Linked DNA regions of Callithrix jacchus. The protein of the gene in region 2 binds, or shares a complex with, the protein of the main gene of each other region. Links are inferred from orthologs where the notes say so. Each region holds a gene or a part of one and is shown on either strand. Other genes may lie near its edges.

Region 1 (3,950 bases), on a different chromosome or scaffold from region 2:
TCTAGCCTGGGGGATAGAGCAAGACCCTATCTCAAAGAAAAAAAATGGGGAGATACAGTTTCCAGACAGTCACATTCTGAGTCCTGGGGGTTAGGACTTCAATCTTTGAACCTGAGGGGCAGTCACAGTTTAGCCTATGATAAGGTCACACAGCAAATCTGCCTCATGTGCCACCAGGCCCACCCCACCAGCAAGCAGCCCTGGCAGTGCGACCTGTGTGCTCAGTGACACCTCAGCTCAAGGGGAGACCTTTCAGAGGCTTCAGCTGCCCCAAGAGAGGAAGGCAGGACCCCTTCCTTCCTCACAGGAGACACCCAGGCTGCCTTCTGCAGCAGGGAATCGGTTTCCCTGCAGGGGCACCAAGCATGCCAGGAGGGGTCAAGTACCAGGCCCATCCCTGAAGGGTTCCCTACGTCCCGTGCCTTTTATTTAGGTGATGAGCACCCCTTTCTAGCTTTTACCTTGCCAAGTAGACACACACCTCACCCCTGCGGGAGCTCGTCTTGACACCTGCTGCACTGGTCCCACAGGGGCACGTTCACACACGCACGCATGTTCATGCCTGCACATACGTTCACAGGCACACAGATACATAGGTGCACGTGCATGTACACACATCTGCACAGCGCACAGATCCACACGCACACAGCCATGCACGGGGCATGCAGTTACCGTACACACGTGCTCACACATGTACATGTTCATGTGCTCACACACGTGGTGGTTCTCAGCCTCTCCAGAGCACAGGAGAGGAACTGTGTGAGTGAGCTGAGGGGATGTGTGTGCACCCGCTCTGTGGTCCGGGGCTTTGTGTGATGGCCCCACCCTCCATCAGCCTTTCACACACCTGCGTTGTGGCTGAGCTGTCTCCTCCGTTTGCCTGACAGCAGGGGCCGTGTTGACCCGGGTGTTGCTGTGAACTCCTTAGGTGGTGTGAGTGTTTTGGTGCCACAGCAGAGAATGATTCTGGGTTCTCTCTGGGGGTTTCTGCAGGGCCCCTTGTCGTGTCCTTTTTCTTGGAGCCAAGATTTAGCTTCTGGGAGCTGTCGTCATGCAGTGCCCTAAATTCAGTACCTGGCCTGTTTGCTGGGCCAGATGGTGTCTCATCAGCTGCAGTTGGGGCTGTGGGACGCATGCGGCAAGGGACTGTGAGGGCTCTGGTCCAGCTCAGTCACAGCCAGGCGTCTGCTGCGGGGCTGGCCCCACCAGGCCCCTGCTTCTCCCACCCTCCCACTTCTGCTATGAAGGGAGCTGGCAGGTTTGGGGCCAGAAGGAAGCCAGTGGCTCTGCTGACCTGGACTGGTGCCTGAGCTGGGTGTCAGGCCCAGCAGTTCTCATGCAGGCCTTGGGCAGGCTGCCCAGGTGGGGCAGGCAACTCCACCTTGCCAAGGGGCTGTGCTCCCTCCTGGTTCCGGAAGTGGCAGGAAGGCTCTTCTGTCCTCTGGTAAGAAGGTGTCGTTCTTGGTTCTTCCCCTCTTCCTTGGGAGCGAGGAGGGGCATTGGCAGGCCCGGGGCCCAGGAGGGGAAGCTGGTGGCCACCCCAGAAGCTGGGTCAGGATTCTGGGGACTGGGCCAGGCATGGTGGCTCATGCCTGTAATCCCTGGGAGGCCCAGGCAGGTGGATCATTTGAGGTCAGGAGTTCGAGACCAGCCTGGGCAACATGGTGAAACCCTGTCTCTACTACAAATACAAAAATTAGCTGGATGTGCCGGCGCACACCTGTAATTCCAGGTATTTGGGAGGCTGAGGCAGGATGATTGCTTGAGCCTGGGAGGTGGAGCTTGCAGTGAGCTGAGATCATGCCACTGCACTCCGGCCTGGGTAGCAGAGTGAGACTCCATCTCAAAAAAAAAAAAAAGGAATGATGGGGGCTACATCCGAGGCAAAGGTCAAGGGTGCAGCTGCTCGTCCGTAGGTTGACAGGCACAAGGCTTAAAGGCACAGCATTCCCTGGGGCTCTGACCCAGTGGAAGGGCTGGAAGGGCCTTCAGGTCTCATGTTCCCTGCCTTCCTTTCTTTCCTTCCAGGCAGTAGAGTAGAATAGAACAAGGTAAGAGTGTCTCCTGCCTCCCAACCCCACTCTTCTTTTCATTTCTTCACAGAGGGTGGGTCGCTAGGTGACTGTGACCTCGTGGCTCTCCGAGGTTGGCTGGGCCATCGGAGAGGATGTGTTTACTTCCAGAAAGGCTCGAGGCGCGGGGACACAGCAGTGGAGCTGAGAGGGTGGGAGCAGATGGCAGCCCGAGCCCACCTCCCATCTCTCATGCACTGCCTGGGGCTGGGTCTGTCTTGCTCAGGGCTGTGTCCCAGGCCCAGACCCGCCCCTAGCTGAGTGGGCACGTAGGCAGCATCTGCCAGTGAGCTTCGGCAGCCTCCTGGGAACAGTCCCAGGGAGGCTTCCCATTGGCTGCCCAGGTCACAAGTGCCTGCCTCATCCTGAAGCCCAGGCGGGGCAGTGGATGGCTGAGTGTGGGTCTGCTCAGCCTCACTGGGGTTTGCTCTCCCCACCCCAGGTGTCTGGGCCAGCGCCTGGAGCTGATCCAGAGAGTGAGGACTGGTGGACCGGGAAAAAGTCAGGACAGAGTGACCCTGGCCAAGGCCACTCAGAGGGAAGGGGAGGGCAGCAGGCCAGAGCACATGGAGGAAACGCCCCGACGGAGATGGGAGTCTGTGGGGACACTGGCAGCACATCCCACTGGGAGTGATTTGGTACCTTCCCCTCTCCTCTGTCTTTCTCTCTGACTGTCAGGAGGCCCTTTGATAAAAGTAGGTCCAGGCCAGGCACAGTGACTCACTTCTACAATCTCAGCACCGTTGGGAGGCCAGGATGGAAGAGCAGCTTGAGGCCAGGAGTTCAAGACAAGGCTGGGCGACACAAGGAGCCCCAACTCTAGAAAAAATTAAAAATTAGCTGAATGTGCTGGCATGTGCCTGTAGTCTCGGCTACTCAGGAGGCTGAGGCAGGAGGGTCTCTTGAGCCCAGGAGGCAGAGATTGCAGTGAGCCATGCTTGTGCCACTGTACTCCAGTGTGGGCAACAGAGCAAGACCCTGTCTCAAAAAAAAAAAAAAAAAAAAAATATATATATATATATATGCCAGGCTCGATGGCTCACGCCTATGATCCCAGCAGCCTGTAATCCCAGCACTTTGGGAGGCCAAGGAGAATAGATCACGAGGTCAGCAGTGTTTGAGACCTGGCCAGAAAAGTGAAACCCCATCTCTACTAAAAATACAAAAGTCAGCCAGGTGTGGTAGTGGGTGCCTGTAGCCCCAGCTACTTGGGAGGCTGAGAGGCAGAGTTTGCAGTGAGCTGGGATTGTGCCATTGCACTCCAGCCTGGGCAACAAGAGTAAAACTCCATCTCAAAAAAAAAAAAAAAAAATTCCCTAAGAGCTACTTTCCTTGCCTGGGACCCCACTCTTCCCAGAGCCCCTTTTCTGTGGGTTCTCCTCCACGAGAGGGAGCGTGAGGATCTTGTGTCCTAAGTGTAGCGAAGCGTCTGGGTTCCCCACAGCCCTGGGGTGAAATGCAGGGGGCCTGGGACCCTTGGGTCAGGGGTTGAGCAGGCAGCCCAAGCCTCAGCTTTAGCTGTTTCCCTCCAGATCCTGGCCTGGAAAGCTGATGAAAGAGCCAGCTACTGCTCAGTGTGGAAGGTCCCAGGCTGAGCCCGCACATGGCCAAGGCGTCCCCTCCATTTCCCCACCCACTCATGCCCCCGGCCCCTCTCTCCTGCAGAGGTCGGACCCGCAGCTGCTTGCCCGGTTCTACTACGCCGACGAGGAGCTGAACCAGGTGGCCGCGGAGCTGGACAGCCTGGACGGGCGGAAGGACCCCCAGCGGTGCACACTGCTGGTCAGCCAGTTCCGCTCCTGCCAGGTGAGCCATGGGCAGCAGAGGCTGGCTGGCCCCGCTGGGCATTGGACAGAGTGGCCAGTCCTCAGTAGAGCG
Region 2 (3,994 bases):
ACTACAAGATTCCAGACTCACAAACTCAACTGAAGACATTAGCTGCTGTTTTTCTCCACTGGAAACAGAAACAGCAAACATTCTCCCTGGCTCCTTTCTAAGTTGCAAACTCCATAGTTACTAAAAGTAACAGAACTTTTGTTTCTCTTAGCAACCTGTGAAAAGCTTATTAGGAATTGTTGATCATTCACAAACTAATGTTTTAATTAAAAGTTCAAAAATCTACCTGTTAATCAGTTTCAAACAGTTGGAACATAGGTTTAGAACAGAGGAGGGAACCACATTTCAAAAGAACAACAACAAAAAAAAACCACTACCCTACACACAGAATGAAAAAAAAAGTCTTTTCATAAATGTACAGCAACCACAAAGCCTTTTAACTATATTATTAGTAACGAAGATGGCCATAAGACAGAATTTATGCAACCTCCACCAATGACTAACTTATTTAACTCCTTAAACTGCTTTTGGATGAAACAAATTTTCCTAATCTTTTATAAGTAAGCCCACCCAGTAACTAAAGTACTGGTTACTGGTGACTTCTGGCTAGAGTTACCAGAAGTGTAATCTTTTTTTTTTTTTTTTTGAGACACAGTCTCAATCTGCCTCCCTGGCTGGAGTGCAATGGTGCGATCTCAGCTCATTGCAACCTCTGCCTCCCAATTCTCCAGCCTCAGTTTCCCAAGTAGCTGGAATTACAGGTACCACCACCAGGTCTGGCTAATTTTTGTATCTTTAGTAGAGACGGGGTTTCACCATGTTGGCCAGGCTGATCTCAAACTCCTGACCTCAGGTGATCACCCACCTCAGCCTTCCAAAGTGCTGGGATCACAGGCATGAGCCACCATGCTCAGCCCAGCAGTATAATCTTATCTATGTCCAACATCATATACTAAAAAACAATAACATTCCATAAACATATACATAAGCCTAGAGGAAATCAAACATTGTAACACCAACTTCCTCTTTCATACCACTGAAATGTGCAAATCATTAAAAGCAGCCTGGAGGGAGAAAATACTTACCAAAAGACAAATTGTAAGTGTCCACAGAGGAGAAGCAGTATCACCCTTTTGCTTTTTAGACTAGGAAATTGATAGTGTTTTATGAAGGAAAGATTCAGCAAAATTCGGCTTTCTTTCCTACCAGCTGCTTGTGAGTCACTCTCCACACTCCAACACCATGAGGACACCCTAAAACCTGCACCCAAGTCTCAACCCCTCATACCCTAACTGCACAATTAAAGAAATTCTATCTCCAAGTTACAGCAACAGGACACTACATAAAAGCAGGGAAGTCTAGCTTCAAGACAAACTGTTTAGAAGACTAGAATGAAGTTCACTGTATCTTTAAAATAACTGCACTAATTTGTTACTAGTTGAACATTTTCCAGTATTCTTGTTTCCTAATCTAGTATATCAGACTTCTTCACTTCACCCACCCACCCTGGATATTTTTACAAGTAGACTAACCATGTGGGTATAAGCATTATATCGCACGTTGTGAATCTCAGTGTTAACGGAACTAAGTAGTTGCCAAAGAGCATGTAACACTCGCAATGCTGTATTTTCAAATTTGCTTAACTTTTATTGTCTGAATTAGAACTTAGTTGGAATTGAATTAACACTGCACAGTGAATAACGACGAACCAAAACAGCCTTTCCCATTTTCAATCAAAAACTGCAGTCTGAAATGGCTTTTGCTTTCTAGTCGACTTACAACGTGTGGCTTAGGGGAAATGCTGGCGCTTTACTAAGGACACTTTTCGAGCTGTAAACTTTCGTTGTTGGAGAAACTACCAAGTTCAAGGGGTGTCATCAGAATCCACTTACCCGATCCTTCATCCTCCAGCTCTGAGCTAAGGATTTGGAGCCTTCAATTTTCTCACAGTGCCTCTTTTTCATAAAAGCCAAAGGTAGGTTCCAGTCTGTAAGATCAGCCTCATCTTCCTCCCCCAGGCCCAGAAGAGGCGACTGCAGCATTTCGGACTCCATCAGTGGGGGAGGGGGTGGGGGAGTCCTTGGCAGTAAGCGCTCGAGAACCTCCAGCCTTAAAAACTAGTGTGTACCAGAATTGGTGAAATAAGAAACAGCAAAACGGAGAATCGAAAAAGAAAGGGATGGAGAGTGCGGAGACCCTTACTCAGGCAAAAAGTCTGAGATCCTTATTTCTAACTCTGAGCGGGAGGCGGGGAGGGGGCCGCTGGAAAATGGGGCAGCCCAAGAAGCTCCGCAGACACACACCACCCCAGGTCCCAAGCCACTGGCTGCTCCTGAGGCTGTACGTTTCCAGAGGGGCTGCGAGCCGAGCTGTCAAAAGCGTGAGAGACTTCAGGCCTCACGATGACCCTGCTCTCGGCCTCCAACGCCTCAGCAGATCCGAGGACAGGCAGGCCGCTCCTGGTGCTGGTTCGCCCACTGGGCCGACTGGGCTGAGGTCTCCGGCCAAGGGATCGGGTTCAGAGGGCCTTGGGTCTCCTCTAGCCACTCTCAGCCCTGCGGGTCCCGCACTCGCCTGAGCTGCTGCAACCAGAGCCAGGACCGGCCCATCGTGCTCGCCCGCACCCGGTTCCTCAACCTTAGGTCCGCGCGGCCTGGCTGGTCCTGGCCTTCAGCCCCGAGGCTCTCTGATGCGTGAGAACGAGTCCTGAGAAACAGGTGACACGGAACCACGGAGAAAAAGGACAATGTGGGCTTATTGGGTCAGGGGAGTTTTGCCCTCTGGTTTGGAGGTACAGTGAAACTCCTCTCATCAGCACACTAAGGAGGACGCCATATTGCCAGGACCCAGAATGCACCGCGACCTACGGCGTGGCCAACAGACCAAACCTCCTCAGAGCGTTCTCGCCGCGCCACCAGCAAGAGGCAGAGGAAGGGGAGTCCCCGACCCCGTTACCTCGGTTACCATAATTCCATTTTCCCCAGTTCATCGCCGTTCGTTCCATAGAGGCGTGTTATTAAAGTCAGTCCTACAAATGAAACTGTCATTTTCAAAACAAAACAAAACAAAACAAACTGTCAGTTTGTTTTTTCAAAAACATTGTTACAGGCTCCTCAAATTAAAGGAATCGACCACCCTGTTTCTTCCAGATTTTGAAAAAGCGGCAAAAGCTTCAGGAAAAACCATTTATAGCATTAGAAAAGATAGTGCTTTTTTTTTTTTTTTTTTTTTTTTTTTTTAGTGTAGTAGCCTCCACAGTGTCAATCAGATTTTCTCTTTAATTTTTTCATAGGAAACCGAGTGAGAGGTCGGACACAGTGGCTCACGCCTGTAATCCCAGCACTTTGGGAAGCCGGGGCCGGCGGATCACGACGTCAGGAGATCGAGACCATCCTGGCCAACATGGTGAAACCCTGTCTCTACTAAAAATACAAAAATTAGCTCAGTGTGGTGGCGCACACCTGTAATCCCAGCTACTCAGGAGGCTGAGGCAGGAGAATCGCTGGAACCCGGGAGGCGGAGGTCACAGTGAGACAAGATCGCGCCACTGCACTCCAGCCTGGCGACAGAGCGAGACTCCGTCTTGAAAAAAAAAAAGAAAAAGAAAGAAAGTGAAAAAAAATTTCATCGAATACATTTTTTAAAATTTGATCTATCTCATTTCTGAGAGTTTTATCCTTTTAAATTTTTTCCCCACTTCTTGGTATTAGTAGTTTATTCTTATGTTGATATAGCTTCACGTGCAGATATCTAAAACTCTGGATTTCTGTGCGTGGAGGCAAGCCTCTTGTGTGACTCTTTTTCAATCCAGGAACCTTGGCTCGTGTACAACATACAGAGAACTGCGTAAGTTGGAATATAAACCCTAACGTAACATGCAGTGCCTGCTTCGGCTAAACCGAATGTCTAGTGTGCCACCCTTGAGGCCGACCAGCAAAGCAGGGGACAAGCAGAGAGGCTCATTTCCCCTCTGCGCTGGGGCTTTGGCATCGGGGACAAGGCAAAGAGGCTCATTTCCTTTCTGCACTGGGGCTTTGATGTCAGAAGCACCTGG
Region 3 (4,140 bases), on a different chromosome or scaffold from region 2:
TACTGCCCCTCCAACTTTCCATCCTTTACCCTGCTAAAAGAAGCAATGACTTGCTTGACTCAGGCTGTAAACTCATTCACCACTCTAAAACCATACCTCAAGCATTATACCTTTGTATCTTATAGCTATTTATTTTGGGGGACTTTACCATGTACCAGGCCCTCTATCCCCGTTAGTTCAATAAATATTCACAACACTCCATGTGGTATTATTCCCTAACCCAACCCCCAGCTGAAGAAAATGATGCTTGGAGTTATGTGTCAAAGGTCACATATCCAGTAAGAACAGGGACCGGGAATTGAATCCAGACTCCATGCTTATTTTCTATACTGTCTTCTCTGCTCATATTCAAAGCTGAGCTAATCCACCTGCCATCTCCTTGCCCTGGAAGAGCACAGCCTTTGCATTTAAAAGATTTCTGTACCATTCATTTTAACATTCATATGTTTCATCCTGTATACTTTTTTGTTTCAATATTTACTTGCACAAAGAGACAGTGTGAGACAAAGGCAAGACATGTAATGGAAAAAGCACAGATTTAGGCATCAGACAGACCTGGCTTTGAATCCTGGCTCTGTCTGGTACCAGCTGTGTAATTTATTGAGTCTTCCTCATCTGTAAATTGAGGTTAAAATGATTAAACAATAGAAATCCCTATATAATACCCAATACATAGTAAATACTCAAAGTTGAGTTTACCTCAAATTATAAAGCATTACCTGGCCACATCCCATCCCTCAAAAGTGAATAACCCATTCCCCTCCTGGACTACCACTGCCACAACAAGAACTCTCACACAATGTACTTATCACTGTTAGAATTATTAATTTCCCTTATCTCTGTTTCACTACATTGAGCTCCCTGGAAGCAAGGACTGAATCTTATTTATCTCTACACTGTCTAGCATGGTACCTGGCATGTATATATCCATACTTAGTAAACATTTACTAAATTAAATAATTGTAGATAAAATGAGTGCTTATAGAATTCTGTAGGAAAACCATTTCCAGCTGGAGTTGTCGGGAATTGGTTGAGAGCAGCCAACTTCAGCTGAGCCGTGGGAAGCATCTTGATAGAGAAAAGGGGAAACCTAGGCAGGGTAGGGAGAATGTCCTAAAAAATCAATGGAACAAGAAAGAACAAAAGTGACTGAGATCCTACTTAGAGTAATGGATCAGGTAGGGTAATTAAAGAAGGAGACCTTGACCAGACACGGTGGCTCATGCCTGTAATCCCAACACTTTGGGAGGCCAAGGCAGACCACCTGAAGTTGGGAGTTTGAGACCAGGCTGACCAATATGGAGAACCCCATATCTACTAAAAATACAAAATTAGCCAGGTGTGGTGGCGCACGCCTGTACCAGTTACTCGAGAGGCTGAGGCAGCAGAATTGCTTAAACATAGGAGGCGGAGGCTGCAGTGAGCGCCATTGCACTCCAGCCTGGCAACAAGAGCTACACTCCCTCTCAAAAAAGAAAACCTTTTCAAGCATAACTGGGAAGGTAACCAGGAGCCAGATTCCGAGATGTAAGGGAATATAAGTGCAGTCTGGTACACACAGTATTTAAAGTAGGCATGAGCACTCAGCTGAATGGGAAAGGGCTACCAGCATGCTTCACATCCCGCAGCTGTGTGAACTGAAAAACATGAAAACAATTATTGCTTCATCAAGAACTCTTTCAGTGTTTACTAGGCACCTTGTATGGGCTCATAAAATATAAAGAATAAAACGGTACCTCCCATTCTGCTCAAGTGGGTTTTAACATTAGGAATCCACCCCTTCTGCTTGTCAAGAGAATGAGAACGCTGCTTTTTTTAAACCGATGTGTCTCCATTTGACTGTTCACACCTGGGAAAGTTTTGAACTTTGCCGATTTGGGTTTATAACAATATGGTGCTTTGCACAGTGCCAGAAGCTGTGGTGGGCTTCAAAAGTTACTTTTCACTCATTCAAAAGGAAATTTTAACCAATTTCTGGGTTGATTTGGGGGTCTCTGGTTAAAATCATACTCTTGTTTACACCACAAGCTCTTCTTTTCCCCCCGCCTTAAACAAATCTAAAGGACTCCTTGCCACTCCCATAAACAAACAATTGAATCAAAGTTCAGCAGCACTGTAGTTGCGAGGCTGTTAACCCCTTTAGGGCGAGGAGGAAAAGGGACACAAGGAAAAAGGACCACACAGGCAATGCTTGAAAACCTTGATTTTCACATTATAAAGACCAGGGCACCTAGATATTGCCAAGTGCAAGACCAGAAACTGCCGGAGCCAACTGCACCCTCCCCACCCCGCCCCCGCTACTCCCGAACACTACCAGGTCCATGGGCTTCCCTTCCCCTAAATCACACACCCGCCTCAGACTCCTGACAGTCCCCAGTTCTGGTAAAGGCCAGGAAACGGATGCTCCCGGGCCACCTGAGCAGGAGCCCGGCAGGCGGCCCGCTGAGCAGCGCCGAAACCGGAGAGGTGAGAGGGTCGCCAGGTGGGCAAGCTGGTGGGCTGACGGGCGAGCGGGGAGCTGGCGGCTGGGGCAACCTTTACCTGAAGCTGCTTCCACACTACGGGCCGGGTCGGCCCCGGGACACGTTCCTGAGGGGAGGGCCCGGCTCCCCCACGCCTCCCGGCCCCTTCCCCGAGCTCTGCACTCTCGGGATCCACGGGGACCGGCGCTCCTCCCGGCCCGCTCAGCTGCCGCTTCCCGGGTTCGCCCTCATGCCCGTGGTGCTCACAACCGCCGCCGCCGGCCGGCCGAGCAGCAGCCCTATTACCCCAAGCCGCACACGACCCGGAACCACACCCCGGCGCTCCGGAAGTCCCCGACCGGGAAGGAGCCTCTGGCTGGGGACGTAGTGCGCAAGCCCCAGAGCTGAAAGCAAGCGGCCACAGCTTCCCGCGGGGCGGGGCCGGGAGGGAGGCCGGGCGCATGCGCGCCGCTTCTCCAATGCAGGAGAAGGCCTGAGTCTGAGGCTGAATTCTGGCAAGATGCACTCGTGTCTGGATTTGCCTTTAGCAGGAATCAGTGTTACGCTTCTCCATCGAATCTTCTTTCTCCCCATTTCCACGGAGAAAAACCCTTAGTTAGTCCAGAAATGAGTGATGAGGCAGTTTAGCCTCTGTATCAGAAAGACTTAGGTTCAGATATGCCAGCTCTTATAACTTGCTGTGTGTCCTAGGACGTGACAACTCTCCTCTCCGAGCCTCGGGTTTTCCCATCCAGAGCAATAGTTTCAACTTTAGAGTATCCAATGGGATGATGCTTGAAAATCACCCAGCACAGTGCCTGATACATAATAAACATGTAGTCAATGTTAGTTATTTCTCTTATAATACCTGTAATATGGCGGTGATAGTAATCTTCCTCAGGTCCTGCTGGGAGATTTCCATGAGATGCAGGAGGACTGGCACAGGCAGAAGTTAGTGTTGTCTCACGCTGCTCTCTTTCTCTCTCACGGAGGAAATCAGTGGAGAAAGCCACAGTGAAGGGGGAAAAAGGATTCGGGCAGTGCAGTGAGAGTGTTCTCCCACCCGAAAGATGCTCTGGGAAGTCTCTCAAAAAAGCACCGTAGCGTGGCTGGGGGTGGTGGCTCATACCTATAATCCCAGCACTTTTTGAGGCCAAGGTGGGTGGATCACGAGGTCAGGAGTTCAAGGCCAGCCTGGCCAAGATGGTTAAAACCCCCGTCTCTACTAAAGATACCAAAATAAATAAATAAATAAATAAATTAGCTGGGCGTGCTGGTGAGGGCCTGTAATCCAAGCTAATTGGGAGGCTGAGAGGCAGGAGAATCGCTTGAACTTAGGTGGCAGCAGTTGCAGTGAGCCGAGGTTGCAGCGAGCCGGGATTGTGCCACTGCACTCCAACCTGGGCAACAGAGTGAGACTCCATCTCAAAAAAAAAAAAAAGCACCATAGTAAAAGAAAAAAATCAAGGTTAAATTTCAGTCCTGGGGGAACCCTGCCCAATTTTAAAGTCACTAATAAATATGCCATGGGGCCAGGCACGGTGGCTCACACCTGTAATCCCAGCACTTGGGGAAGCCGAGGCAGGCAAGTCACTTGAGGTCAGGAGTTTGAGACCAGCCAGGCCAATATGGTGAAACCCCATTTCTACTGAAATTACATAAATTAGCCAGGTGTGGT
Region 4 (4,211 bases), on a different chromosome or scaffold from region 2:
GTACTTTAATGAACAACTAGCTCATTCACTTTTCACATTCTTAATAACCCTTTGAAGTTATCTCTTCTTTTAGAAATGAAGAAATCAGGGGTTAAGCGAGGTCAAATAACGCCCCAAATCACCCAACTATTAAACCTCACAGCTGAGGTTATAACCCAGAATGATGTGATTTTATAGTCAACTATGTTTTCACTACACATTGATGGCTCCTTTAGGTATTATAATGACCATGACCTCTATTTTATAATGAGCTTCATTAGGTATCTATACAATGAATCTCTCAAAGATTAAATTAAAATAATGAGAATAAAAGCAAACACTGCCTTGGCGTTAAACAAAAAAAAATTTTCATTCCCCAAACTTTATCTTTTTACATACTGTAATCTAATCCACAAACAGCTGCCCTTCAGCTGCAACCCAAACTGCCTCACAGTTCTCAAATTATTACTAAACTTTAATTCCTCATGAACTTTCTTCAAGCCTACTTTGAACAATGAAATGTTTGTCACAACAGCAACTTTTTAAAACAATAGTAACACTATAAAATGACTAATTCAGATTAATTCTAAACTTCTTATGATTAAGAAATACAGATCTCATACAATCTCTCACAATTGTTGCAATCAGTTTTAAGTGGCTATGTATATTTTATACCAAACTGAAGTACATTTTGTCAGGGCAAGCAGAAACAGCATTTTCTGCACTGTTTATATTAACCTGGAAACACCTATGGACACAGGTGCTTACTAAATGCTCAGTTAATACAGCATTTTAAATAGTAAACAGAGCACTATATATAGGAGCTCGACGAACTCAATTTAAAACAACTATGTATTTCCAGCACCACATCTAAGCAGGTTTTTAATGCACAAGATAAACTCAAGTTTTTTAAGTGCTCCTTTCACCTTCATCGAAAAACAGAAATGCCGCTATAAAAATTAAATCACTCACTAATTACATCTTTTACAAACCTGAAATTGTAGGAATTATCCTTATTTGTTAGGAAGTTTACTAGTAAATCTATTTTATATAGATTTTTCACGTGTGTTATATTTAGTCAAGTTTCCAAACTGCTGTACAGAAGTCAAAAGCTTTACGTCTTTTTATACTAATTCTCAAAACCTATCTGCTGAAAAACCGTTGGAAATTAGCGCATTGATAATCTAATTAGCAGCCATTTCCAGGATTTAAGCTCTATTACATTGTATTATATTTTAGAAACGGTGCTTGCAAAAGGTCTTAGTTCACCCGAAACTAAGTCCTTGAACTTTCAGAATAAAATATTAAGTAACAAACATGTACTCTTGTAGCCAATGAAAGCTGACCATTCAGTTTTTAAAACAGTAATCTTACACTGTGATATGCAAAATAAAACAAATTAGAAAATACACTATGCTTTCCCTCTAGAGATGAGCCATTGCGAACAACGAGCCCAGGTTTGACAAATTACTGTAGATAAGAGTCATTACGTCAAGCACAGTATAGGGTAAAAAATAGCTCATACAGAATGTTTACAACAAGTTTTGTTGTTGTTGTTTTTACTTCCTAAGGCGTTTTACAGATCTCAGAAACGGATTCTGCACAGTTTAGCCCGGTTACACTTCAAGCTACAGCCCGTGTATGACTTCGTCAGAATCAGTAGACTAAATCCTGTTTACCGTGGAAGAGAAAAGAATCTTGTACGTAACTACTAACTCTTCAACGAGATAATGTCGAATAAACTCTAGTACTGTGAGTGATAGAAGAAACACTGGCTAGTAACCGGATTAGGTCATTAAAAATATAACCCGGGTTTCCCCAGTTCGAAAGGTGTAAACAAACCCATCTCCACTGCAGAAGGTAAACAATGAACCTGCAGCAGGGCGAGGGGGCGGTCTTTTGCCAACTACAGTCCCAGCGGCCCGGGAAAGGGAAGCAGAAGGGAAACAGCATAAACCAGTTAGCAGTAATGACCAGTTCCAGGTTTCACTGTCGAGTTATCAATGCTGCGGGTCCCCACAGGGCTGTGGGCAAAGGGGAAAAGAGTCACGCAGTCAGCAAACACCGAGTAGGTCCGGCTTCTGCTCCGGGGATGGGGAGGGCAGGATGTGGTCGCTCATCCCTCAAACATCCTCCTGCAACCTAAATAACAGCCTTTACCTCCCTCTGGCTGCCCCCAGCTTGGCTGCCGGACTCCGGGATAGGTGCAAACCGCTCCGCCGGAGTTCGAGCCCAGAGGGTCGGCGGGTCCGCCGAGTTCCACTCGGGGCTCCCCCGCACCCGCAAGCAGCCGGAGGCCCGGAGAAGGGCTCGGGCCAGGGAAGCGGGAGCCGGGAAGGGGGATGGGTCCGGCGAGGCGGGTCCGGCAAGGCGGCCCCGGGCTCGGCTCCCGCGGGCAGGCGGGGCTCCGGCTCTGCCCACCGCACCCCGCCGGTCCCGTGTGGGGCCCGCCCCCGCCTCTGGCCCCAAGCCCCGGGCCCGGCTCCTCCCCAGCAGCGCGCCCTCGCCTGTGCCCGCGGCGCCCCGCGTTACCTCGGGTTAGATCCAGCGGGACGTTCTCCTCGCCGCTGTCATTCCGCCCTGCGCGAAACAGACACACAACCCCAGTTAGGATTCGCTCGCAGGCCAGCTGCGGCTGACCTGGCTCCGGCCAGCGCCCCGGCTCGCTCCCCACCCACGGCCAGGGGAAGGCAAGTGCCAGGGGGTGGCGGGCGCCGGGCGGTGGAGAGTGAGGGTTGCAGCGGGCTTACCTCGTACTCGGAGATTCTTCAGAGAGCGGCCGCGGCCGATCGCCGCCATATTGACGGGTTTCAGTCACAACACCGGAAACCTCGCCCAATCGCGCGAGAACCCCTTCCCCTCCCCGCGCGCCGCGCCCGCCCCCCGCGGCACCTTCCCCGCCCCCTTGGCGGCGACGGCTGTGCGGGTGGTGTAGGCTCGGTCCCGGCGCGGAGGGAGCGCGGAACAAATCCAAGGTCTGCACTGAGTTCGCAGCGCCCGCCTGCCCGCCTGCCCGCCCACGCCAGACCCGGAGGGCAAGTCCGCCGGGAGGGGCAGTTCCCACGAGGAAAGTCCCATTGATGCGAGTTGGCAGCGTAAAGGATGCTCCCCTCTGGCCGCCGCGGAAGCAGTCGTCCAAACGGAGGCGAGCAAGGAGGAGGAGGAGGCCGAGATGCGACCGGCGGGCCACCTGCTCATCGCCGGCCTGCGAGTGTCCTGCTTGCTCTCAAGCCCTGCCGTAGACGGCCCCACTCCCCCGTTCATCCATTGAAACAATTTTTATAAAAACGCTGCGCAGTTTTAGTCTCCCTTCCTGGAATCGCTTTGCTCCGACCAAGTTAACACATAACAAAGTTTGTTTTCCAGCCTTGCCCTTGATCTTTCAGAACGCCCCTCTCGGCTAGGAGGGCTTCTCCAAGTGGAAGCGGTTGGGCGGTTTTGTTTTTTTTTTTTGTGGCCGCCAGGCATAGGACGCGAGAAGGGGGTGCATCGGAGGGGGACGCGGGCGGCAGTCCCCGCGGTGGGATCGCGCCAGCGCCGGGAGGCCGGGGAGAGGGGTTTCCTTTGCTAGGAATCGAGGCCAGACTGCTGGGTATTGTGTCCGGCTTTTCTGTCTCTGTAGGTCCTAGGAGCGTGGCTCATGCAGATGTTGGGGATTAATCTATTGTATGCATAAGCCTATTAACATTAGGGATTTTAATTCTAGAAACTGCTTAGTTAGTTAATATATATACATCTGCCCACTGACCCAGTAGCTTTCTTAAACTACATTTATTTTAAAGAGAGGATGAGTGATTTGTCCCCTCCAGTTCCTCAGCTCATCTTTCTATTCCATAAGACTGAAAGTTAATTAAAAGTGGAGATCTTGCTTTAACCATTCTGTTTTACCAGCTCCTAGTTAATGCAATATCTGGCACAAATAAGTATTCAGTAAATACCTGTTAGATGAGTAAATGCCCTGCATTTCTTCTTTGTTCCAATTCTCTGCTTGCTTTAAAATACATGTATATATATATATATATATATATATGTATATGTATATGGGATATTTATTGAAGTTATTAATAACAATTTGGAAACACGTAAATGTCCAAAGTTAGGGATTATGTAAATTATCTCAACCATTTAAAGTGACGAGGTAGACTTAGTAATAGTAATAGGAAATAATGTTCATGATGTTAAGCAAAGATTACAAATTTTCTGTTTTTATAAAGTTTAAATACATACGAAAT
Region 5 (3,992 bases), on a different chromosome or scaffold from region 2:
ACTTTGGGAGGCAGAGGCGGGCAGATCACTTGAGGTCAGAAGTTGAAGACCAGCCTGCCCAACATGGTGTAACATCCGTCTCTACCAAAAAATACAAAAATTAGCCAGCATGGGTGGCATGTGCCTGTTGTCCCAGGTATCAGGGAGGTGAGGTGGGAGGATCGCTTAAACCCAGGAGGTGGAGGTTGCTGTGAGCCAAGATCGCACCACAGCATTCCAGCCTGGGCGACAGAGGAGACCCTGTCTCAAAAAAAAAAAAAAAAAAGAAAGGAAGGAAGGAAGAAAGAAAAGAAAGAAAGAAAGAAAAGAAATGCTGAATCTAGTCCCCACCCCCACCTACAGAATCAGAATATACCTTAAATGAAGACCCCAGTTATCCTTATGCACCTGGAAGAGTGAGAGGCAGTATTCTGGTCTGGAGCCAAAGGGTCCCAGGATGTGACCATTTCAGCTTCTCTGCCCTGGCAGAAGTGGGCTAAGGTGGGCTTTGGAGGAAGAGTCCACACCTTGGCTAATCGAGGCTGACCAGGCTTGCTTGACTTTAGTAGAAGTAAGCCGGATTTCCCTGGCTTAGGGACTGGGAGCTGTACCTGCTCCACAGGCCGCCCCAAAGAGTGAGCTGGCTTTAGGTTCCTGGCACTGCTAGCTTCTTCCAGTAATCTCAGAAACATATGCCATGTCCCAATGCAGAAGCCCCTTCTCCCTTCCTGCTACTGCTAAAGACCTTCAAAGTGAGTGGGATTTGCTGTCAGCCCCCTGACTACTCTCCACTTCCCAATCCAAAGTGAAAAGTGGATTCAAAGTTCCTATATTTTACATTTATTATTTATTTTAGAGATAAGGTCTGCAGTGGTCAATCATAGCTCACCACAGCCTCCAATTCCTGGCCTCAAGCGATCCTCTGGCCTCAGCCTCTGGAGTAGCTAGGACAACATTCTTTTTGTTGTTGTTTGTTTTTTTTTTGTAGAGATGGCATCTCACTATGTTGCCCAGGCTGGTCTTGAACTCCTGGCCTAAAGCAATTCTCCTGCCTTGGCTCCTCCCCAAAATGCTGGGATTACAGGCATGAATCTTGGTACCTCGGCCAGAAGTGCCTATAAACAGTATCCCTGGCTTCTAATTTGACCCAACAATCCAGCAACAAAGGGTGCAAAAAGAGGCTCCCTGTTCCTTCAGGCCAGCCTCAGGGCCCACCCTGAACGAATCCAGCAGACACTTACCCCCTCAGTTGAAAGAACTCCAAAAGTGTCAGGAATTGGCCTGGTAGACCATTGTGACAGAGACAAAGGAGAACAGCATGGACTACAAGTGAAAGAGGATGAGTCGGGAGTGGCAACAAGAGCGCCTGCAAGCTTCTCCTCGGATCATTTCTAACAGAAGAGGAAGCATTCCTCCTTTCTCTGCCTGGTTGCTATTTCTTGCCCAATCTGGGAAAACGGTGTGACAATGGACACGTGTTCCAGCTCTGAGGCCTCAGTGCCTGGCTCTGTAGAACAGGCGGCAGAGTTGGACAAGATCCCTAACCGTTCTAACAGTGTATGTTTTGGATCGAACGGCAGAGGACCTCGGATCCGGCTGTGCTTGCTGCCGGTGGGGCAGAATCTGCCTGAGAAAATAAGCATTTGGCCCCCACCGCCACCGAGCCAAGCGCCGGGATCTGTCGCGTTTTCCAGTAGTTTGGAAAGCAGCGTGGAGGAGGATGGAGGCAGAGGAGCAAAAGGAGTGGGGGCAGTGCAAGGATGGGACCGAAGTGGTGAGCCACGAGGATTTATTTCATCATGCAAACAGGAGCGTAGGTTTCATCAGCGCCTGTGCGCTGCGGCTCCGGGGCTGGGAGGGAATGCCAGGTTCCTGAGGGCAGCCCGAGGCTGTCCACCCCACCCGTGCCAGCTCAGCTTCCTCTTCCTCATCCTCTCCCAGGGAGGTCACACGGTGCCTCCTCCTCCCCCCGGACAGAAGAACGTGCTTTTCTGCACAGCCCGGCCCGTGGCGACAGGCCCCTCCGCGGAGATCTCACTTGCATAAATGGGGAACGTGCCACAGGTGCCCGGGAGGTGCTGCTGGAGCAGGGGAGCACCCGCAGACCCAAACCTCCGTCAGAGCGCGAGTGTCCAACGCAAAACTAGGGGTGCCTCGGGAAAAAATCAGGGCCCTGTAGAAATCATTTATCCCAACAGATAAATAATAAATTTATCCCAACTCATCCCATAAAAACACCAGGCCGAGCCTTTCTTGGATCGTGGGCCACACTGACCCCGCCCTATCCCGCCTGGGGAGCGCCCCCAACATCCACAAGGGGCAGCACAGCTCGGCACGTGGCAGTCCTGGAGGCGTGCTTGTTAGTTAGGTGTCAGCTGTCTGACACCTAACAGAAAGAGGAAACGAACGGGGCAGTTTGCAGCTCCGGTCTGGACGACGCACTCGGAGGACAGCCGGGCGGTCACTTCCATGACCCTCGCTGTCTCCCCGACGCCCCTTCTCCGTTCTTCCCAGCCACAGCACCCTTTAGCCTGGACGCCCGGTCCGATCCGCGATTCCCAATCCTCCCGCCCTCCCGGGAGCCGGCACGCGGCGTCCCCGAGCCAGCGCCTACCTCCCGGGGTGGTGCTGAAGAGCGTGCCTCCGGGGGTCGTACTGTAGTCCCCGGGCGGGAGCTGCACGCCGTCGCCGAGCACCACCCGGCGAGTGGCGGGGATGGCTCGGCTTGGGGTCTGGCTGCAGCTGCTGCCCCCGGACATGGTCTCCTGTGCGCTGCAACCGCGAACCTCTCCCTGCCCTCCCGCGCCTGCAGCCTCGCTCCGCCTCGCCCCGGCCCGCCCCGCCCCAGGACGCCCCTTCCGCCTCTCCAGGCCCACGCCCCTGGGATTTGTAGTCCGCGCCGCAGCCCCACCCAGCTCCAGGCCGCTGCTTGCACGTGGATTCTCCTGCCGCCCCCCGATCCACGCCCGCCTGCTCACGGGCTCCTCCATACCGCCCCCCAGCGACTGCTCCTCCGCTCTCGGGTCCCTCGGCGCCACTCTGGCAGGGACCCGGGTTGGGTGGCGGGCGGAATAGCTCGCCTATGTTAATCCTTGTCTGGGTTGGGGGCGGTGACTCAGGACCGCGCGGAGATCCGAGCTGACCCGGCCCACTGCAGGAAGGCCCGGTTTCTGCATTAAGACTTCAGGCCGGGTGTACCCTTTGGCACTCCCTGTTCGTTGCCTCAGTTCCTCAGATGAGAAAGTGGGATTGACTGGTCATGCTCACCCCACCTCAATTTCTTGACCTTGATGGGGATGGGTGTGGAGGGACTAACAATTCCGCTCCTGGCCTTTAGAGAGGAAGAGAAGGGGTGGGAGGAGTGAACCAACCAGCAGCGTCCTGGGAGCTAAATTTAGAGTTGGGGGCGGCCGGGAGGGGGGACGCGTAGGGGAGGAGTAATAGTTTGTCCAAAAGGTTTCCCGATAGCCCCTGAATTGGGTCCAATACCCACGCCACTGCCTGAGGTTTAGTAGGTACTTCTTGGTTGAATTGACGGATGTTTAGTAGGTACTCTTTGCTGGATGAATGGATGCATGCATGGATGATGTTCAAGGGGAGAGAGAAAAATGCAAGAAGGACCGAGGATGGAAAAACTTGTTGGGTTTGAGAAGTTCCTATCATTGTGTGCACATGTTGTGGGGAAGAGGGTGAAGAAGAGAGGACGGTTCGAAAGGGAAATTGGGTGATGCACCTGTAATCCCAGCTGCTTAGGAAGCTGAGGCTGGAGGATTGCTTGAGCCCAGAAGTTGGAGGCTCCCGTGAGCTGTGATCACACCACTACACTCCTCCTTGGACAGAGACCTTATCTCTAAAAAATACGTAATAATTTTTCAAAAAGGAAATTGGGGTCAGGTCGTTGAGTTTTTCAAATCATGTCAAAGTGCTTGGACGTTGTCTTAGAGAGGCAGGAGACATCAGAACTCTTTTAAGCGGGGGAATGACATGATTAGAGTTGTTTTTTTGGAACGATA
Region 6 (3,500 bases), on a different chromosome or scaffold from region 2:
GTTTCAACTAGTCACTGTCTGTTTCTCTGCAGGAGGCAGAAGGCAATGCAAGTGGATGCCACAGTCTTTACTTGCATCAGCATGCTGGCTCGAGCAATGGGGCCAGGCATCCAGCAGGATATCAAGGAACTGCTGGAGCCCATGCTGGCAGTGGGACTAAGGTGGGTGTCAGAAACCTGAGCTTGCCCTGTATCAGTGTGAGGTTTGGTCCGCAGTGTTGGGACTGGGTTAAAAGAGGGAGGCATGGTTGTTTGCACATTCAAAATGTGTTTTGCTTAGACAAAACACATAGGCTAGTACTGAATCCTAGTTTCATCACTAGCTAGCTATGTGATCTTGACTAAGTTATTTAATATCCCCGAGCCTCATTTTTTTTTATCTGAAAAGTGGGTACAGTAGTAATTCCTGTTGTCTAAGGTTGCTGTGGATTCATGATACAGTCATTCTTAGGACCATGCCTGGCGTATAGGAAATGTTCAATAAATATTTACAAATATTGTTTATATTATTATTAGGCAAGTTGCTTAAGCTCCCTAAACTATAGTTCTTTTCATCTGTAGAATAAGGACAGTGTTCTTGATCTGCTTGCCAGAGTGTTTGTTGAGTCTTGGTATTCTGTAGTGGCTGAATTATAATGAGCAAGTCTTCCTGTGGCAAGAACCAGAAACTCATAGATTGTTTAGAGACCTGAGACTAAGCAAAGAGAGTTTACACATTTATTCTCATTTCATAGTATCCTTTCTACTCTAAAGAACAGAGGCCTGATCCCCTTGCTGGGAGAGAAAGGCTGTTTCTTCCCAAGAACAGACTGAGTGTCATGTGCTCAACCCTTATGTGACTGGTTTCCTTCCCTTTAGCCCTGCCCTCACTGCTGTACTCTATGACCTGAGCCGTCAGATTCCACAGCTAAAGAAGGACATTCAAGACGGGCTACTGAAAATGCTGTCCCTGGTCCTTATGCACAAACCCCTCCGCCACCCAGGCATGCCCAAGGGCCTGGCCCATCAGCTGGCCTCCCCTGGGCTCACGACTCTCCCTGAGGCCAGTGATGTGGGCAGCATCACTCTTGCCCTCCGAACACTTGGCAGCTTTGAATTTGAAGGTAAGAAATTACAGTGGCTCTTGTCAACATAGTGAGAGATGCTGGAAACTTTGGGAAAGGAATGAAGGTATCTAGGATTCCTGGATCTTGCCGGGGTCCTAGAGACAGGGTAACTGATTCTGTAGCAGCTCATCCTTCCTAGACTCTTTCCATGTATTGGTAATTCCTATTGTTTGTTTCTTGTCCCATTCTGAGTTTTGGGGCAGTTGGTTTGAGGGAAAGTACACATTGATCCAAAGAAATAATGCTTCAGAGACAGATCCCCCTCACATCCTCACTTTTCTACTTCCTTGTAGCTGAGATGGTATGTAATGATTTAGAATGTATAACAAGGGCTTTTGGGTGTTTCCATGTCTATAGCAGTATGATTTCTTTTTTCTTCCTTTTTTTTTTTTTTTTTGAAACAAAGTCTCTTTCTGTCACCCAGGCTTGTATGCAGTGGCACGATTTCAGCTCACTGCAACCTCCGCCTCCCGGGTTTAAGTGATTCTCCTGCCTCAGCCTCCCAAGTAGCTGGGACTACAGGCACGTATCACCACACCCGGCTAATTTTTGGATTTTTGGTAGAGATGGGGTCTCACCATGTTGGCCAGGCTGGTTTCGAACTTCTGACCTCAAGTGATCTGCCTGCCTCGGCTCCCCAAAGTGCTGGGATTACAGCTGTGAGCCACTGTGCTCAGCTAGCGATATGATTTCTAAAAGTACTTTATTGTGTAGTTCTAAACTGCAAATAAACCCACTAATACCCCACAGAGGTATATTTCAAGAGAAAAGTTCATACTTTTGAAATTTAAGATCATGTAGGTAGTATTGGTCAAGACTGGGGAAACACGCACAGAAAGCCTGAAGATACTGTCTGGAGACAGCCACCTGTGGTTTCTCTATTGCAGTTCCTCCGCTTACACTGATTCACACTTGTGATAATTTATTTCTAGTGAATAGAAAGTAGCTATGCTTAAACCCAGCTTACGTAGACTCTTTGTCTGGTATTTAGATCTGGGAACCAAAACAGGCAAGGTAAATTTGACAAGAATTGCATTACCCTCTGAGAATGGTAGGGGTTGAGTTGGAATAAAATGAAATAATTTATTCTTTGAAGGGAATATAAAAAGGCTAGGGTTGAGAGATACTTTTTATCTCTCCCTGTTCCCTCACCACCCCCTTTTGCCTTTTGCTGATTGAAAGTCCACTTGTTATCCTTTAAGAATTCTGGGTCAGTATCATTGATCAGTATCTGGTTGAAAGTAGAACTAGTAGCCTCAAAATGGAAAATTCACCTAGCAAACTGCAGACCTGCCTGTCCACAGCAGCAGTGTTTATTCTGTTTTCTCTCTGCCTTTCTATCCAGGTCACTCTCTGACCCAATTCGTTCGCCACTGTGCAGATCATTTCCTGAACAGTGAGCACAAGGAGATCCGCATGGAGGCTGCCCGTACCTGCTCCCGCCTGCTCACACCCTCCATCCACCTCATCAGTGGCCATGCTCATGTGGTTAGCCAGACTGCAGTGCAAGTGGTGGCAGATGTGCTCAGCAAACTGCTCGTGGTTGGGATAACAGATCCTGGTAAGGCTTCTGAGACAGAAGCCATCTAGGGGAGTTTAGGAGCTTAGGGCAGCTGGAAGTAGCCAGTTTCATCACATGGCCTCTCCAGAGATCTTCGGTCTCAACAAGTTGATATTCAGCTATTTCTCTGCCACGGTGTTAGGCGTGGCTACTCCAGCCTGTTGGTGTAAGATAATGTCTTTAATTCATTTGTCTTTACTCCTATGAGTAGAGAAAAGAATGACAGAGGATAGATGAGAGAAAGCATCTGGAATCTTCCCACTATGCTGATAGCAGTGGAGGTAGAGAAGGGCTGGAGTGATGGGGTCATGAAGAAATGTTCAAAGGCTCCATTGCTCTTGCAGACCCTGACATTCGCTATTGTGTCTTGGCGTCCCTGGATGAGCGCTTTGATGCACACCTGGCCCAGGCGGAGAACTTGCAGGCCTTGTTTGTGGCTCTGAATGACCAGGTGTTTGAGATCCGGGAGCTGGCCATCTGCACTGTGGGCCGACTCAGTAGCATGAACCCCGCCTTTGTCATGCCTTTCCTGCGCAAGATGCTCATCCAGGTAACCGGGATGATGGTCAGACCCACAGGCAGGGAGCACAGGATTCTCACTGTGAGAGCTGCTTGAGGAAGCAGAGTTGAGGACAAGGATGGGGGAGAAAGATTGAGGTACCTGGGAAAAGTCACCTTTGTCTGCAAGGGTTCACATGTTTCCCTGGCTTTATAGTGGCAATTCCAGTGCTCATCACCTCATGAGCCTTTTGTTAGTATGAGTCCCCTCATGCAGCTCTTTATTCTTCCTGGCAACTCAGTCACCAGTGATCCCATTTCTTGGCCCTCTTTGCT

The links.
Region 1: the proteins of RPTOR (region 2) and ZFYVE28 are in contact, whole or in part, in a cryo-EM structure (PDB 9F43), measured with the Homo sapiens proteins. The link is inferred for Callithrix jacchus from reciprocal best matches to the Homo sapiens genes RPTOR and ZFYVE28. Residues at the interface, in NP_065812.1 of Homo sapiens: Arg54, Arg305, Arg306, Thr317, Asp321, Phe337, Arg338, Leu341, Ala344, Arg348, Leu437, Gln438, Leu440, Leu441, Ser442, Gln443, Arg446, Pro474, Tyr475, Lys478, Leu479, Gln481, Ser482, Ser483, Ala484; in NP_066023.2 of Homo sapiens: Arg399, Val400, Phe401, Phe402, Met403, Asp404, Asp405, Val406, Glu407.
Region 3: RPTOR (region 2) and MAPKAP1 share a complex: the UniProt entries of both Homo sapiens proteins name them as parts of the mechanistic target of rapamycin complex. The link is inferred for Callithrix jacchus from reciprocal best matches to the Homo sapiens genes RPTOR and MAPKAP1.
Region 4: RPTOR (region 2) and RICTOR share a complex: the UniProt entries of both Homo sapiens proteins name them as parts of the mechanistic target of rapamycin complex. The link is inferred for Callithrix jacchus from reciprocal best matches to the Homo sapiens genes RPTOR and RICTOR.
Region 5: the proteins of RPTOR (region 2) and EIF4EBP1 are in contact, whole or in part, in a cryo-EM structure (PDB 6BCX), measured with the Homo sapiens proteins. The link is inferred for Callithrix jacchus from reciprocal best matches to the Homo sapiens genes RPTOR and EIF4EBP1. Residues at the interface, in NP_065812.1 of Homo sapiens: Arg54, Arg305, Thr317, Asp321, Phe337, Arg338, Leu341, Ala344, Arg348, Leu437, Gln438, Leu440, Leu441, Ser442, Gln443, Arg446, Tyr475, Lys478, Leu479, Gln481; in NP_004086.1 of Homo sapiens: Glu111, Ser112, Gln113, Phe114, Glu115, Met116, Asp117, Ile118.
Region 6: the proteins of RPTOR (region 2) and MTOR are in contact, whole or in part, in a cryo-EM structure (PDB 6BCU), measured with the Homo sapiens proteins. The link is inferred for Callithrix jacchus from reciprocal best matches to the Homo sapiens genes RPTOR and MTOR. Residues at the interface, in NP_065812.1 of Homo sapiens: Phe278, Lys282, Cys283, Ser285, Leu286, Pro288, Gln380, Ala381, Asp383, Leu384, Asp387, Glu411, Gln412, Thr414, Ala415, Val418, Trp419, Thr421, Met422, Arg427, Asn428, Glu431, Gln432, Lys973, Ile974, Asp979, Leu980, Glu981, Ser982, Lys986; in NP_001373429.1 of Homo sapiens: His597, Thr600, Pro632, Val644, Ser645, Gln646, Thr647, Ala648, Val649, Ala653, His686, Ala688, Gln689, Glu691, Met721, Asn722, Pro723, Ala724, Phe725, Met727, Pro728, Phe729, Arg731, Lys732, Leu734, Ile735, Leu738, Thr739, His743, Tyr771.

What each region holds. Positions count from the first base shown.
Region 1 is NC_133504.1:190,791,461-190,795,410, forward strand, and holds the start of ZFYVE28 (lateral signaling target protein 2 homolog), read left to right. Parts: upstream 1-1,150; 5' UTR 1,151-1,336; coding exon 1,337-1,444; intron 1,445-3,737; coding exon 3,738-3,878; intron 3,879-3,950. UniProt on the Homo sapiens protein: Negative regulator of epidermal growth factor receptor (EGFR) signaling. Acts by promoting EGFR degradation in endosomes when not monoubiquitinated.
Region 2 is NC_133506.1:136,242,674-136,246,667, reverse strand, and holds the start of RPTOR (regulatory-associated protein of mTOR), read right to left. Parts: upstream 2,801-3,994; 5' UTR 1,995-2,800; coding exon 1,833-1,994; intron 1-1,832. UniProt on the Homo sapiens protein: Component of the mechanistic target of rapamycin complex 1 (mTORC1), an evolutionarily conserved central nutrient sensor that stimulates anabolic reactions and macromolecule biosynthesis to promote cellular biomass generation and growth.
Region 3 is NC_133502.1:174,287,735-174,291,874, forward strand, and holds the start of MAPKAP1 (target of rapamycin complex 2 subunit MAPKAP1), read right to left. Parts: upstream 2,801-4,140; 5' UTR 2,542-2,800; intron 616-2,541; 5' UTR 556-615; intron 1-555. UniProt on the Homo sapiens protein: Component of the mechanistic target of rapamycin complex 2 (mTORC2), which transduces signals from growth factors to pathways involved in proliferation, cytoskeletal organization, lipogenesis and anabolic output.
Region 4 is NC_133503.1:166,483,959-166,488,169, reverse strand, and holds the start of RICTOR (rapamycin-insensitive companion of mTOR), read right to left. Parts: upstream 2,801-4,211; 5' UTR 2,779-2,800; coding exon 2,730-2,778; intron 2,560-2,729; coding exon 2,512-2,559; intron 1-2,511. UniProt on the Homo sapiens protein: Component of the mechanistic target of rapamycin complex 2 (mTORC2), which transduces signals from growth factors to pathways involved in proliferation, cytoskeletal organization, lipogenesis and anabolic output.
Region 5 is NC_133514.1:38,881,781-38,885,772, reverse strand, and holds the start of EIF4EBP1 (eukaryotic translation initiation factor 4E-binding protein 1), read right to left. Parts: upstream 2,801-3,992; 5' UTR 2,739-2,800; coding exon 2,594-2,738; intron 1-2,593. UniProt on the Homo sapiens protein: Repressor of translation initiation that regulates EIF4E activity by preventing its assembly into the eIF4F complex: hypophosphorylated form competes with EIF4G1/EIF4G3 and strongly binds to EIF4E, leading to repress translation.
Region 6 is NC_133508.1:49,110,241-49,113,740, reverse strand, and holds part of MTOR (serine/threonine-protein kinase mTOR), read left to right. Parts: intron 1-32; coding exon 33-161; intron 162-857; coding exon 858-1,102; intron 1,103-2,450; coding exon 2,451-2,666; intron 2,667-3,010; coding exon 3,011-3,216; intron 3,217-3,500. UniProt on the Homo sapiens protein: Serine/threonine protein kinase which is a central regulator of cellular metabolism, growth and survival in response to hormones, growth factors, nutrients, energy and stress signals.